4 linked regions of the Yarrowia lipolytica genome follow. The protein of the gene in region 2 purifies or fractionates together with the protein of the main gene of each other region. This does not show direct contact. Links are inferred from orthologs where the notes say so. Each region holds a gene or a part of one and is shown on either strand. Other genes may lie near its edges. The genes, in order: YALI1_E06882g, YALI1_B21714g, YALI1_F19106g and YALI1_D11151g.

Region 1 (3,261 bases), on a different chromosome or scaffold from region 2:
CAATGCCGTTACCCGTTTGAATTGGTCCGAGTCTACCTGGTGCTCTGGTGCGTGGCCTGTGTTATCCAGCACAAGTCGTTAGGTGGGCAAAAGGTTGGTCATGGTGCAAAGTGTCAGTCAAAAGCATGACTCTATGTCTATTGTCGGTGTCAGGGCTTGAGCCACAGCTGAGTCACATCTCCATCACTGTATCACATTGGAGTCAGATTACACTGTGAAACATTGCAGTATGTTCTAGTACAAGATGTACTTGTATGTTGACATGTTGACTTAGTAATACGTACACATACACAAATGGACCCCACCTCATTATACCGGTACTTGTACTTGTACTTGTAGCTTAAGTTATACCCCTTCAATGTAGATCACACACTGGGTACTTGTGCTCGTACTCGCTATTGTACCCTATCAAATCATCTTCGCTATCTCGTCGCTACAGTATTTACGTTTTCAACCTCATCTAGCTTTGCAGATCTACAGTGGGTATGCTACTCGTACACGTGTAATAAGTTCAACATTCAATCTATTACCTCTGAATAATCAGTTCCTTTTACCTTCCTGTTCTAACCCCGGTTTCGTCGACTCTTGCCGGGTCTCGACTGCTGACGCTTCTTAACAGGAGCGTTATTTCTCTTCTGGTTGAAGCCCGACAGGTCGCCCGAGCTCTCGGAGGTGTTGGCCTTTCGGAATCGCTTCTTGCCACCGAATCCAAATTTGGCATCCTTGGCCTGTCTCTTGTGGTTCTTGCCCTCAATATTATGGTTGTCGGCAGCCGCCTCCTCGACGGCAATGTCAAACTCCTCGGAGGTCATCTCCTGGCCAGCTCGTTTTCGCTTCAAGGACTTGATCTTTTCCAGAGTCTCCTTCTTGTCCTTGGCTCGCTCCTGCAGCTTGTTGTGCTGCACCTTCTTACCAAACTTCTTGAGGTCTCGCTGTCGTCGTGCCTCCTCGGAAGCCTTCTTGGAGGTGGCTTCCTCGATCAGCTTCTGCTTGAGCTTCTCCATGTGTTCGTCGGACTTGACCATCTCGGCAAAGTAGTCCAGAGGTCGGGTAAACGGAACCTTGGCCTTGAGCAGCTCCTTTCGAGCCACCTTGGCAGCATCCAGACCCTGCTTGTAGAACGCCAGCTCCTTCTCCATGTCGTCGTAGATGTCCTTGAGCTCGATGGCTCCAGACGTATGCACAAGGGTGTCGACAAAGGTCATTTTGGCGTAGGGCAACGAGATTCGAGCCTTGGCCTGCATCAGGGCAGGCTTGTTGTTCTTGGTCACCTTCTGGTAGGGGATGGCGTCGTTGTCGGAATCGAGCTCCACATCAGACAGGGGAATGTCCTCCACCTCGTTCTCGACATTCTCAATCTCGGATTCGGACTCGGACAGATCGAGACGGGTGGTGTCGTAAAGCTGGGGAACCTCATCATCGTCTTCCTCATCATCGTCCTCCTCGGCAGCAGCAGCAGCAGCAGCAAGCTTCTTCATCTTTCGAGCCTCCTTTCGAGACAGAACAGGAGTCTTGTCCTCGTCCTCCTCGTCCTCCTCGTCCTCCTCGTCTTCCTCTTCATCATCTTCGTCCTCCTCATCATCTCCATCGTCCTCGTGCGCAATCTGCTGCTTGGCAACTACTGCCAGGTCCTTGGGCTTGGGAAGAACGCCCTTTTTGGCAGTCAGCTTGGCGGCCTTGTCGTTGGCCTTAGCGGCCTTGAGAGAATCCTTCAACTTGGGGGCTCCCATTGTGTGTTCGTGTGTGTGTGTGTGGTGGGTGGGAAATAAGACTATGCACGGGAGGAATTTTTTTGGAAAACCAGAAACTTTTCAGATAGAGTTTGGAGCTGAGAAGGCACAGGATTAACTGGTTCTTGTTCTTAAGAGATTCTTAAGGGAGAAAACATTTGAAATGTAACGAATTACTGGTTGCAATTATTGATATGAAATGTTTAATATTATTTTTACTGTATTTTTATTAGAATAGCAAGTACATTTGTTTTCAATTATTCTTCGCCTCCAAGTAGCGCCTGCCCGTTGAACTTAATGCACCTTGATAAAAACTTGAGCCATGATTTAGAGATGATTAAGCGGGGGGTTTTATTTCTCAAATTAACGGGAGAAATTGGAAAATATTTGAAAAAAATACATAGCGATAAATTAATAAGTGGTGAAGTTGAAAATAGATCAAAGAGCCCTGCCAAGAAGTCACACCAGGTAAATCAATACTGTAATACGAGCTTTAACCAGCTAGACGCATCTGTTGAACACCGACGATACAAATGATTCTGATCGGAGAAGCTGGTGATGAATTATTACATACATGGGCACTGATGTAGGATGGAGGTCAACAGTTGATTCAGGTAGAGTTGACCTTGATAGGTCCCGCAAAAAAGATCAACTTGAATACAAAGAGATCACTACTTGTAGATAAGATCGTAGTTTCCAGAAGATGGCAAGATGGAATGCACCACTCAGCAAATAACTTCTCTGTAGCTGCAGTGCCGCAAGCATCTACCCACTCACACAAGTAACAAACTCTTCAGCAGCCGTAAAGACTCAATTTGCCGTCTATCTCGTCTTATTAGGTTAGAATTATCATCGAGTACCAAGCCCTGTGTCTTGTAATGTCGATGGCCGTTTGCGCCTTATGGCGGCCCGAAAAAAGAAATACCATCAAAGAGGGAATTTGTGAGTGATTTTTCTTGAATATGATGAACTGAGGGAGTGCATATAGTTGGGGCAAAGGCTGGCAACGATGATTTCAGGAAGACTGGCTTACAGTATGTAGCAGGGAACGTAAACTAGTGGGGTCTCAATGTGGAGTCCAGATATCGATTCGGCAGCCCCGTTCAATCATAAATAATAGATTCACCTTGTTTCCGTACCTTTTCCACGGCAAGACACCGTGATACAATTGTGCTCTATCTAACGATCGTACTGAACTGCAAAACTGGTACATACTGTACGTATGCACCATGCCTGTCACCATATTGGCAGATATTGAGTCTGGGTTTGCAAAAAGGAAATAGACAAGAATATGGGGGTGCTGAAAAAGCGTGGCAAAAGCACCTTATCAGCTTTACGAGAAAAGCACTTACCCAGTGCAAACAGAGTGCAGACAGAGTGCAATCAGAGAGTGTTTTGCTGCAAAAAAGTACCTCTGCTGACAAAACCAACAATAGAGGCATTGTATGTACAGAACCGACACCAATTAATGGCCACAGTGATACTAATACCACTTGTAGCACTCACTGCTCGTATAGAACTGGTAGCGCCA
Region 2 (3,686 bases):
GAATGTGGCACATCCTGAGACTACGTACATCAAACTCACATACAGTTTCGAGAGCGAAGATATTAAAATGTGAGACAAACAGGGGATATTCTTCAACGTCAGCCCGAGCTTGCAGAATGGTCAGTTGAGTCTGTGTGCGTTACAACTACAGTACGTTCATAAACCAACTACGGCGGTACAGATACTGTAAATTAAAGTATATACTATTGGGTACACTACTAATTACTGTAAAAGTGCTAGTGATGTGCGAGTAGTGCTGACACATCCGTTCTCTGACATGTTTGGTGACACAAATGACACGATGAATATGTTTCATCGTTTGATTCCCATCGCAAAACTCCCTGGAAGACAGTTTTAGATTTGCCACATGTAAGATACCAGACCTGCTATGATGTACAATACCCACGCTCTCTGAGTCTCGATGGTTGTGACCATATTCTATCTTTATGAAATTCGCTCTTACTGCACTTCCTTTTGGTTGTTCTGGTTCTGAAGACACTGCTTCTAAATCTTATAATACATTAATTACATCTACGCCGACTTGAGCTTCTTCTTGCCCTCGTCGTTGCCAGCGACCCTTCTCTTGTTGCTCTTCTTCTCGACCTTGTCTAGATCGTTCCACAGCTCGTCATCCTCCTTCTCAGCTGTTTCCTCCACATGCTTTTCCTGGGCTGTCTTTCGCTCGGTATCCACGAAAAGCAGAGAGGACACTTGGGTACCCACGAACATCTTTGCAGTGCACTCGGTGGTCTCGAGATCAAAAATTCGAAGGTATCGGTCAAGACCAACGGTAGCCAACAAACCATTGTCGGTGGTAACTAAATGCAAAACGGCACCGAGAGATCCGGGGAACTTCTCGACGACACAGGGAGACTTTCTGTTGTGTTCCTTGTTCTGGTTGTTGTCTTTGTTTTTCAGTACAATCTTCTCATTGTCTGCAAAGTTGAACTTGAACGTAGAGGAGTGGGCATCTGAAGAGACGACGTTGGAGGCATCCATACCGGGTGCCAAGGTTCGCAGAGGATCCTTTGTCACCTTGAAGTCCCACTTCGGTCGCTTTCCATGCCATGTCTCATACACTCTGATCTGTCCATGTCTGGTGGCAGTGATGACTCTGAATCCATCCTTGTCAGAAGCCTGGAAAAGAATTCCAGAAATCCACACCGGCACCCGCATATCGATTTCGTTGGACTTGACATTTCGGGCCTGAAACTCGGATCTCACGGTGACTTCGTCACCTTTAACAGCCCATCCAAACACCTCCAAATCTCGCTCCTTTCCACCCACGGCAATCTTGCCAGGATACAGCTCCCTGTCCAGAGCGAAGCATGCCAAGGGGCCCTTGACAGAGGCAGTGGGGGCGTCGTATGGCTTGTCGGACTCAATGGTGACCTTCGAAACATCGAGGAAAAAGAGTCGACCATCTTCCAGACCGGCAACCACAGTATTGTCGTCATACTGGGTAAGACCAATCCAGGGACATTTTTCTGCCCCCTCAGCAGAGTAGACGAAAATCGGAGTCGACTCCTCGGTCAAAAGGTATGGGTAGACTTCAATGGTACCGTTCTTTCGCGCGGCAGCAATGTATTTGGTGCCCTTTGATGTGGTGACCAGGGCCAGCTTTTGAATGTGCTTCAGTTTACCAAGAGCAGCGAAGGATGTGATGAGGGGCTGAGGTCCGTCCTGGACCGAGGTGTCCATTCCCTCGTCAAAAACAACTTCTTTGATTGCTCCAGTATCTTCGGCGGCCAGAAAAATCTTCATTGTGTACTGTAATGTGATTCCCAGACTTTGCTCGAGATACGATGTTGTCAGACTGCGTGCATGAATTTTTTTAGAGTTTCTGCAGTCGGTCTTGAGCGAAGCGAATAAGTAGAGGGGGCTGTGATACAAAGAGAAAATGGTGACTCCGATTATTGTTGAATTACACGGGGGGAGGAGGGGGGCAGCTTTCTGAATTGCCACCAAGATGATTTACTTTTGAACACTTTTCTTCACCCGTTGAGCAGGAAAGAACTTCTTAAATAAGTCGATAATTGTACAAATTAACGAGTATTACCTTACTTGTACTTGACATATTTGTTGTCATGAAGTCAGCTTGACAGATGGGCCACTCCGAACACCATCTGAGACAGACGCTGTCCTCGCTGTTCCCTGTGACTGTCAACTTTCTTATTGATGGGAACAAGCACGAATGGCACATATGCGATAGGATATTACAGGCTTTGTGCCCCCCATGGCTGGTTTCTACAAGTATATGGCTCATGTATAAACAAGGCAAGTCTACAAGACATGGGCATAATACATAATGATAATAAGTTAGATACTCCTAAAAAGAATTATTAGCTGAGTTGACGGAAGTGCTAGGAGAGTGTCCGATGGGGAAACCGGTCTTCTCAACGGGGCTTCTTCCCTTGGCCTGACGGGGGTGGAAAATGCCAGAGACACCGGAATGGGTGGATCGATGACCCAGGAGACTCTGTTGGGCCGATGAATAAGAAGTATTGGATGCCTGCTGAGTGATCTGGTTGAACAGGTCGTTCAACGAGTTGTTCTCAGTTGACGAAGAGGCGGAATTGAGTGAGGACTCCGACGCCTTTCGGGACATGGCCGGATGAGGAACTCCCAGGTCGGGGAAGGAAGCCACCGACATTTGAGAAGGCGACATGGATGTGGGGGTGAGTTGCGAGGCAGCCATCTTAGCCATCTGCTCCTGCTGCTGCATATGGAGCTGCTCCAGTTGTGACAACTGCTGCAACTGCGAAAGCTGTTGGTTCTGGTGCTGCTGCAACAGGGCCTGCTGCTGAGCCTGCTGTTGGGCTGCGAGTTGCTGCTGGGCCTGCTGCTGGGCCTGCTGCTGGGCCTGCTGCTCAGCAACATACTGAGCCTGGGTCTGAGCCTGGGCCTGAGCCTGGGCCTGTGCTCGGGCCTGGGCCTGCGCTTGAGCCTGAGCCTGAAGTTGGGCCTGTTGTTGAGCAACGAGCTGCTGTTCAAGAGCAGCCATCTGCTGATACTGATACTGGGCGGCAGCCTGATATTGGGCAGCGGCCTGATACTGGGCGGCAGCTTGCTGCTGGGCAATAGCTTGCGCCTGAGCCTGGGATACCTGGTAGTGCTGGGTATTCTGGGCCTGAGAAGCCTGCTGCTGCTGAAGCTGGCTGAGCTGCTCCATCAGCTGATACTGAGCCACCTGTTGAGGAGTGTATTGGCCCTGAACAGGAGTCATGCTACCAACAGGAGTGTGCTGCTGAACAGGAGACAGAACGGGTGAGTAGTGTACTTGGGGGGTCTGTCGACCGGCAGCCTGGAGCTGCTCCAGAAGAGACATCTGAGGAGTCTGGGCCATCTGTCGTTGAACAGGAGATAAGGGCTGAATGGGGCTCACGTAGAAGTTACTCTGAGTCATGGGGGTCATTCGAGCAGCCTGTTGCTGGGCAGCCATCTGTTCAAGAATGGACATGGGCTTCGGGGTCTGAGGGACACCAGGATGATGTTGCTGCTGCACAGGATAATGCTGCTGCAGAGAAGCCTGGCTGGGGACCTGAGCCATACCCTGGTACTGGGGCAGCAGCTGATGCATGGCATGGACCTGCTGGGTCTGTGCGAGGTTTCGAATTTGCGTCAGCTGAGGATGCAGCTGGTTGTCGTGCTGGAAGTCATGAGCCTCTGTCTGGAACATTGCTGGA
Region 3 (3,296 bases), on a different chromosome or scaffold from region 2:
GGGAGGGGACTTTGGAGGTTTTGGAAACATGCAGCAACAGACCAACAGCGGTTTTGGGAACATGCAACAGGCTAACAGCGGATTTGGCGGGTTTGGTGGAGCTCCTCAGCAGCAGAACAACGCTCACAACGACTGGGCCGATGCCGCCGCTCCCAAGAAGCAGGAGGATGACGTTTTTGCCAACGTCTGGAAATAATAATTTTAATACACTTAGCTAATAATTAGATATCGGTCATAGATCCATCAACCGTGAGCATTGAGCAGACCAATCCAGTAGCACCAAGCATCGAACAAAGGAGCCAGAGTAACGATAACTTGCGACATACGAATTACGTATCTACGCTCAAGACTGACTGTCCATGATTCCAACTACAAGATATAAAGCTCATTATTAATATTACAGGTTTATTAGACCTAACTAGTAGTAATATGTTTCCCCATAAATATACGAGACATGCAACAATAAGATAATTCCGACTCCAAGATCCAACATGAGACTTTTCTTTCTAAACTAAGCCAGAGAAGTTCTCTGCTTCTTCTTCTTTGCACCCTCGGCGACTCCGGCAGCAGCCTTCTTGGGCACTCGGACGTCAGAGACGGGGGTGTACTTGTAATCGATACCCATCTCACCAAGCTTCTTCAGCTTGGCATCGAGCAGAGATGCAGACTCTTTCTTGAGCTGGTCCCACTTTGCTCGGGATCGGGGTCTCTCATTCTTGTACTGAGCAACCTGAGCTCTTGGCAGGACTCGGAAAGTCTTGTTAGCTCCCTCAAAGAGAGCCTCGTGAACCTCATCGTCAGGAACAACCTTGCATTTAAGAATGTGGCCGAAGAGCAGGTAGTTGTTCATGGTCTCGGCAGCTACCTGGGCCACCTCCTTGGACTCGAACTCGATGAAGGCGTAATGCTTGGAGGCACCGGTAGTCTTGTTTCTGGAAAGACGCAGTCGAGAAATATCACCAAACTGGCTGAAATATGAGTGCATCTGCTCCTCGTAGAAACCATGGGGGATTCGACCCAGATAGATGACGCCGGTTCCAGACTTTTTGGATGCCTTTGTGGTAGCAGCAGCTCGATTGGACTTGGCTACTGCGGTCTTCTTGACGGTAGCAGGGGTATCATCCATAGTCTCATCCTCGTCATCTCCATTCTCAAACTCCTCTTCGTCGTCACTACTCTCAAATCCAGCCTCATCCTGTTCCTCGTCCTCCGAGGAAGAGAATTTGGAGAAATCGTCGGAGGTGGCGGGAGCAGCGACCTTAGTGGCGGTCTTAGACACTCCAACCTTCTTGGTTCCGTTGGAGGACTTGAGGCCCTTTTTTAATGCACTGGACTTCATGGTTGTGTTTGTGTGTATGAGAGAGGAAATCTGCACCTGTTACCTCACACAAAATATTTTTTTTTTACTGCTGGGACAGAATTTTTGCATAAGCTTCAATGCCGAAGCTTATCTGCAGCTGTGATACATTAAGAGTGAAGAGGCTGACTAAGCAATAAGGGTCATTATAGAGAGGAAAACAATAATGATGACAAAGATACTCGTACACTGTTACTCGTGTATTCACGACATCAACGATATGCCTCAGGGATGCTCCCGGATGATATGACTTATCAATAGCAGAAGTAACACTACAGGGAAACTAAAAATATATATACGCTACCACGTACACGAAAAACTATGAAATCAAAGCTACGATGGCAACATAATTTTGGTCTATTACTACCACGGATGGTGGATAAATTACTTTATAGAAGTACTCGTCGAGACTCTTACTTCTGGGCAGGGGGGGCGCCACCAGCGGTGGGGAGACCAACAATACCCTTGAAAGAGTCGTAGATGAGCCACTGGAGACCAGTGAGGGTACCGACCATGACGATTCGGACACCGAGACCGTTCCAGAGACCACCGAAGCCAATCTTCTTGTAGATTCGGGAGACGGCCTGGCCGGTGGACTCACCGGGCTGCTTCTCGGAGTTAATCTTGGAGACCATAACATCAGCGGGGTGGGAGACAATAGCACAGAAGACACCAGCAATGTAACCACCGAGGAAGGAGACACCAGTCTGGGCAAGGAAGGAGTAGTCCTTCTTGGGGTAGGGCAGGTAAGAGTAGATGAGCTCAACGGTTCGCTCGAAAGTAGCGAACTTAACCATGGTGTAGGGAACCTGTCGGGCCCAGAGGGGGGTAAGACCCTTGTAGAGGCCGGCAACACCCTCAGCGGCGACCATCTTCTTCATACCATCGAAAGCACCGGTAGCGAAGGGGGGGATGGTGGTCTGGGTCTTGACCTTGACGGCCTCCCAGGGACAGAGCAGAATATCAGCGAGAACCTCAGCGGAGGCGGAGGCAGCGAGGTAGACAAAGGTCTTGTACTTCTCGGCGTTCTCGGCGCCAACGAAGTCACCGTACTTCTTCTTGAACAGCTCGTAGAAACCGTACTTACCAGCACCCTGGAGAGAGTAACCGATAAGAGTGGCACCGACACCGGTCCAGATACCACCCATACCCTCAGAGGCAATGATGGATCTCCAGGCCTGCATGTTGGAGGAGTAGAGAGCGGGGTTCACCTGTCGTCGGCACTTGACGAGATCAAGAGGGGTGACGAGAGCGTGGGTAACACCACAGGCGAGCATACCACCGGCAACACAGGTGGCGTAGAACTCAGGGGAGTAGAGCTTGATGCCCTTGGCCTTCTGGGCCTTGATGGCATCGCCGGCCTTAGCGACCTCGGCCTTAGCATCAGAGACGAGAGCGTCAGCCTTCTTCTCGACCTTCTCGACGGTCTTGTCGAGAGAAGATCGGACGTTGAAAGCACCAGCACGGGCGCCGTTGGGGTCGAAGGAGGCCTGAATGGCGGAAACAGATGGGAAGAGAGCCATTGTGGTGATTTGATTCAGACTACTGATGGAGAAAAGGAAAACCCGGGAGGAAGGGATGACGAGAAAATAGGAAAAGCTGGAACCCTAAATTTGACCCAATAACAACGCGAGTTGAATTTACCTTGTCCAATCCAGAGCTTATTTTCAGCAAATCGGTAGTTGCACACAGGGAAAGAGACCACGCGGACCGTTCAACATCACATAATGATGCGATTGGAAATTGGAGCACTGGCAATTGGTTCTCGTTGGGTCAATTGAACAATCCGGATATTCCGAACACCGTTTTCATTGCCCATTGAGCCATTTTTGCATGTACTATGGATCTAATGCACCTGGTGGCTGACGTATCCATTTTTCAGAGTTTGGGTGGTTTTCTGCATAGCTCTCGGTTCTGAAGCAATTTGGCTTTGCTCCGA
Region 4 (3,233 bases), on a different chromosome or scaffold from region 2:
GTCGACTGTCTTCAACTGAGATCATATATAAATAAAAAAGAGATCCAATTGTGAACACGGGTTAGTCCATTGTAACCAGTATAAAAAGATAACTTGACAAGTGCGGACTTCTTGTAGAGAGTGACTGTCGGACACTCTACTGCCAGCGAATTGTGTGCTCCACTAAATGTGAGAATGCTTCTTTCTTTGCTTATTGGAGCGTGAGAAGTTGTATCGCAAACCTGGAATATGTCCATTTCTTGGTCCACAATGAAACAGAAGGTTAGAGTGTGTACAGTGTGTACCTACTGTAGCCAGTTTGTTCTCCTCAATGAAGATATATCTACATGCTGTAATTGTACGCCTTTAAGCCCTGTCCACTCTACCATCGCTTACGACCTCCTTTCTGCGCCTAACAACTATCTGTACGTGAATATTAAATATATGTCTATGTCTTTTATGGATGGATCTCTAGTATCCGTATACTGCTTGCTAGATCCTTGGTGATGTTCTATAGGGAAACCATTTGGAGCCAGATAGCTATGGTCGGAGACTCGGGTTTAAACAAACCCAGCCCACTCGTCCTCCTCGTCCTCCTCGTCCTCCTCGCCAGCGCCCTCGAGCTCCTCGGCAACACCCCACTCGATGAGCAGAGGGTTCTCGAGCACGTCCTCCACACATCGCTTCTGAACGACCGAGTTTTTGGTCTCCTCGGACAGAGTCTCGACTGCCTCGAGAAGCTCGGAAACGGGAACGTCGGCAAACAGCTCCTTGACCAGCTCGGCCTCCTCTTCCTCGTTCTCGGCCTCCTTCTTGTCCTTGAGCACCACCTTGGCCAGCTCTTCTAGATAGATTTCCAGCACGTGGTACCGAATACTGTCGGGGATCTTGGGGTTTTCGGGGTTGAGAGGGATCTTGCTCATCACCTCATTGTGTCGCTCGATCCAGGTCTCGTCCCAGTCCTCCTTGGCAAGTCGCTGGAAGGCGAAGCCCACGTACCGTCTAAGCAGCAGGTAAAACTTGTCGATTCGGTGCTTGTCTAGCGCGAGCCACTCGGCGCTCATAATCTTCCAGAAAGAAGCCAGGAATGTGAAGTAGTTGGTCTCGTGGACAACCAGCAGCAGAGAAGCCATGTCGTCGGCCAGACGCTGCTGTGTTCGAGGTCGGTCGCTGAACCACATGGAGAAGAACAGACCCTTCCACAGCTTAAGCAGTTCGAGCTCACCAAAGGCCTTGGGGGTTCCCAGGAACCGCTTGAGCGAGTTGAGAGTCTCGTCTCGAGTGGGTCGGTCATTGGCAGCCAGCTTCTTGATAAACGGGTAAGCATCGGGGCTTCCGAGCTGGATATCATCCGCGGAGTTGTCTTCCTTCTTAGAGTAGGGCTTATCTGCCTTGATGGCGGCCTTCTTGGACCCCTTTTTCACTTTGCCAGCAGCCATTGTAGTTGTAGTGTCTTGTGGTGGTTTGGATTGTATGCACCTCTATATTTTTTCAATCACTGCAGCTCGAAATTTTTTAGTGCTGCTTGAGAGAAGCATGAAAAAGGCAAAGTTGCAGGCGACCTCAGTTCGAGTCCCATGGTGGTAGCAGTAAATCACAGCAATAGAGCGGGTATCGAAGGAACGACAAAGTCCTTGCAACACTAGAAGCCTCAAAAAGTGTTATAAATATTAATAGGCCAACTCTTCCTATTTCTCGAGACTATACTACCCCCTTACCCTCAACTAAACCTCAACTAAACCACAACTAAAGTCCCAACTAACCTGTTGTCCCCTATCACTCACCCATTTTTAAAACTCTAAAAATACAACAAACGGTGTCCCCACAAAATCCCCCCAAAAAGGCGAAAAAAGCTCAACGGCATGGGAGCCTACACTGCTACAATATCGTCGCTACCGTGGTACTAGCCAAAGAATCAACCGCGTAGGAGGAGCGAACAGACCGATCTGCCCACTCGCTCTCACGTGACCCCATCCACGTGACTGCCCTCACTCAAGCCAACATCTGGGGCCCGCGTATTCCCCGAATCTCACATAACCTCGCCCAGCAGTATGTACGGTTCGGATATCGACGCGCATCTCCTGCCCTAACCCAGATGCCCAATGCAGGCTCCCCCACAAAACCATCTATTGCCGGGACCTAAAAAGTGTAGTGGGTTATAAGCCAGCTGAGACCCCGCGACATCTTACGACACTCTTCCACTGACCACGTCGACATTTGTGTGAATACAACTAGACCCGTCATGCTTCGAGCCGTTTCCAACCACGCCTGTTTGAGACAGGCTCTTTCCAGTACTCGGACTCTGAGAACTGGTCTCCAAAAACATGTCCATAAGACCCAGTTTGTGTCTGTGCGACACGTGTCGACCACTAAACCCACTGAGCGGGCGGAGGTCGAGAAGCCCATTGTTCAGAATGGCGAGCTTGTGTTCCCCGGAGCTCTGCGAACGTCGTTTGTCAACAACATGACTTTTGTGGACCCCACGACCCAGGATTCCATGCCTACTTACCGAGTAGTAGGGCCCGATGGCGTGCAGATTGACAAGTCGTACAAGATTGATCTGCCCGTCGACACCATTCTCAAAATGTACAAGGACATGGTGACTGTGAGCATCATGGACGCCATCATGTTTGACGCACAGAGACAGGGCCGTCTGTCCTTCTACATGGTTTCCGCGGGAGAGGAAGGTATGGCTGTGGGCTCAGCAGCCGCCCTCAAGCCTCAGGATCATGTCTACTCCCAGTACAGAGAGCAGGGAGCGTACATGTATCGAGGATTCACTCTGGACGACTTCATGAACCAGCTCTATGGAAACAAACACGACCAGGGCAAGGGAAGAAACATGCCGGTGCATTATGGCTCCAGAGAGCTCAACATGCATACCATTTCGTCTCCTCTGGCCACCCAGCTGCCTCACGCTGCTGGAACAGCCTACGCTCAGAAGATGGCTGGCGTCGATGGAGTCACCCTGTGCTACATGGGTGAGGGAGCTGCCTCCGAGGGTGATTTCCATGCCGCTCTCAACATTGCTGCTACTCGAAACTGTCCCGTCATCTACTTCTGTCGAAACAACGGCTATGCCATCTCTACTTCTGCCATTGAACAGTACAAGGGAGACGGTATTGCGTCCCGGGCTATTGGTTACGGCATTGAGACAATTCGAGTGGACGGAAACGACATTTTCGCCGTGCATCGAGCCACCAAGAAGGCCCGAGAAATCGCTCTCAGAGACCAGAAGCCCGTTCTCATCGAGG

The links.
Region 1: the proteins of YALI1_B21714g (region 2) and YALI1_E06882g purify together in Saccharomyces cerevisiae (affinity purification with mass spectrometry; 6 studies listed by BioGRID, with this or other methods). This does not show direct contact. The link is inferred for Yarrowia lipolytica from reciprocal best matches to the Saccharomyces cerevisiae genes NSA1 and EBP2.
Region 3: the proteins of YALI1_B21714g (region 2) and YALI1_F19106g purify together in Saccharomyces cerevisiae (affinity purification with mass spectrometry; 6 studies listed by BioGRID). This does not show direct contact. The link is inferred for Yarrowia lipolytica from reciprocal best matches to the Saccharomyces cerevisiae genes NSA1 and NOP15.
Region 4: the proteins of YALI1_B21714g (region 2) and YALI1_D11151g purify together in Saccharomyces cerevisiae (affinity purification with mass spectrometry; 4 studies listed by BioGRID). This does not show direct contact. The link is inferred for Yarrowia lipolytica from reciprocal best matches to the Saccharomyces cerevisiae genes NSA1 and RRP1.

The regions. Positions count from the first base shown.
Region 1 is NC_090774.1:686,752-690,012, reverse strand, and holds YALI1_E06882g (uncharacterized protein), read right to left. Parts: upstream 1,731-3,261; coding exon 564-1,730; downstream 1-563. UniProt on the Saccharomyces cerevisiae protein: Required for the processing of the 27S pre-rRNA. Probably involved in the step of the processing of the 27 SA precursor into the 27 SB intermediate.
Region 2 is NC_090771.1:2,169,487-2,173,172, reverse strand, and holds YALI1_B21714g (uncharacterized protein), read right to left. Parts: upstream 1,765-3,686; coding exon 532-1,764; downstream 1-531. Other genes in the region: YALI1_B21675g (uncharacterized protein), read right to left, coding at 2,330-3,686. UniProt on the Saccharomyces cerevisiae protein: Involved in the biogenesis of the 60S ribosomal subunit.
Region 3 is NC_090775.1:1,908,647-1,911,942, reverse strand, and holds YALI1_F19106g (uncharacterized protein), read right to left. Parts: upstream 1,340-3,296; coding exon 512-1,339; downstream 1-511. Other genes in the region: YALI1_F19126g (uncharacterized protein), read left to right, coding at 1-196; YALI1_F19090g (uncharacterized protein), read right to left, coding at 1,771-2,880. UniProt on the Saccharomyces cerevisiae protein: Involved in the biogenesis of the 60S ribosomal subunit. Required for pre-rRNA processing and cytokinesis. Associates with the precursors of the 25S and 5.8S rRNAs.
Region 4 is NC_090773.1:1,113,755-1,116,987, forward strand, and holds YALI1_D11151g (uncharacterized protein), read right to left. Parts: upstream 1,419-3,233; coding exon 540-1,418; downstream 1-539. Other genes in the region: YALI1_D11159g (uncharacterized protein), read left to right, coding at 2,222-3,233. UniProt on the Saccharomyces cerevisiae protein: Required for 27S rRNA processing to 25S and 5.8S.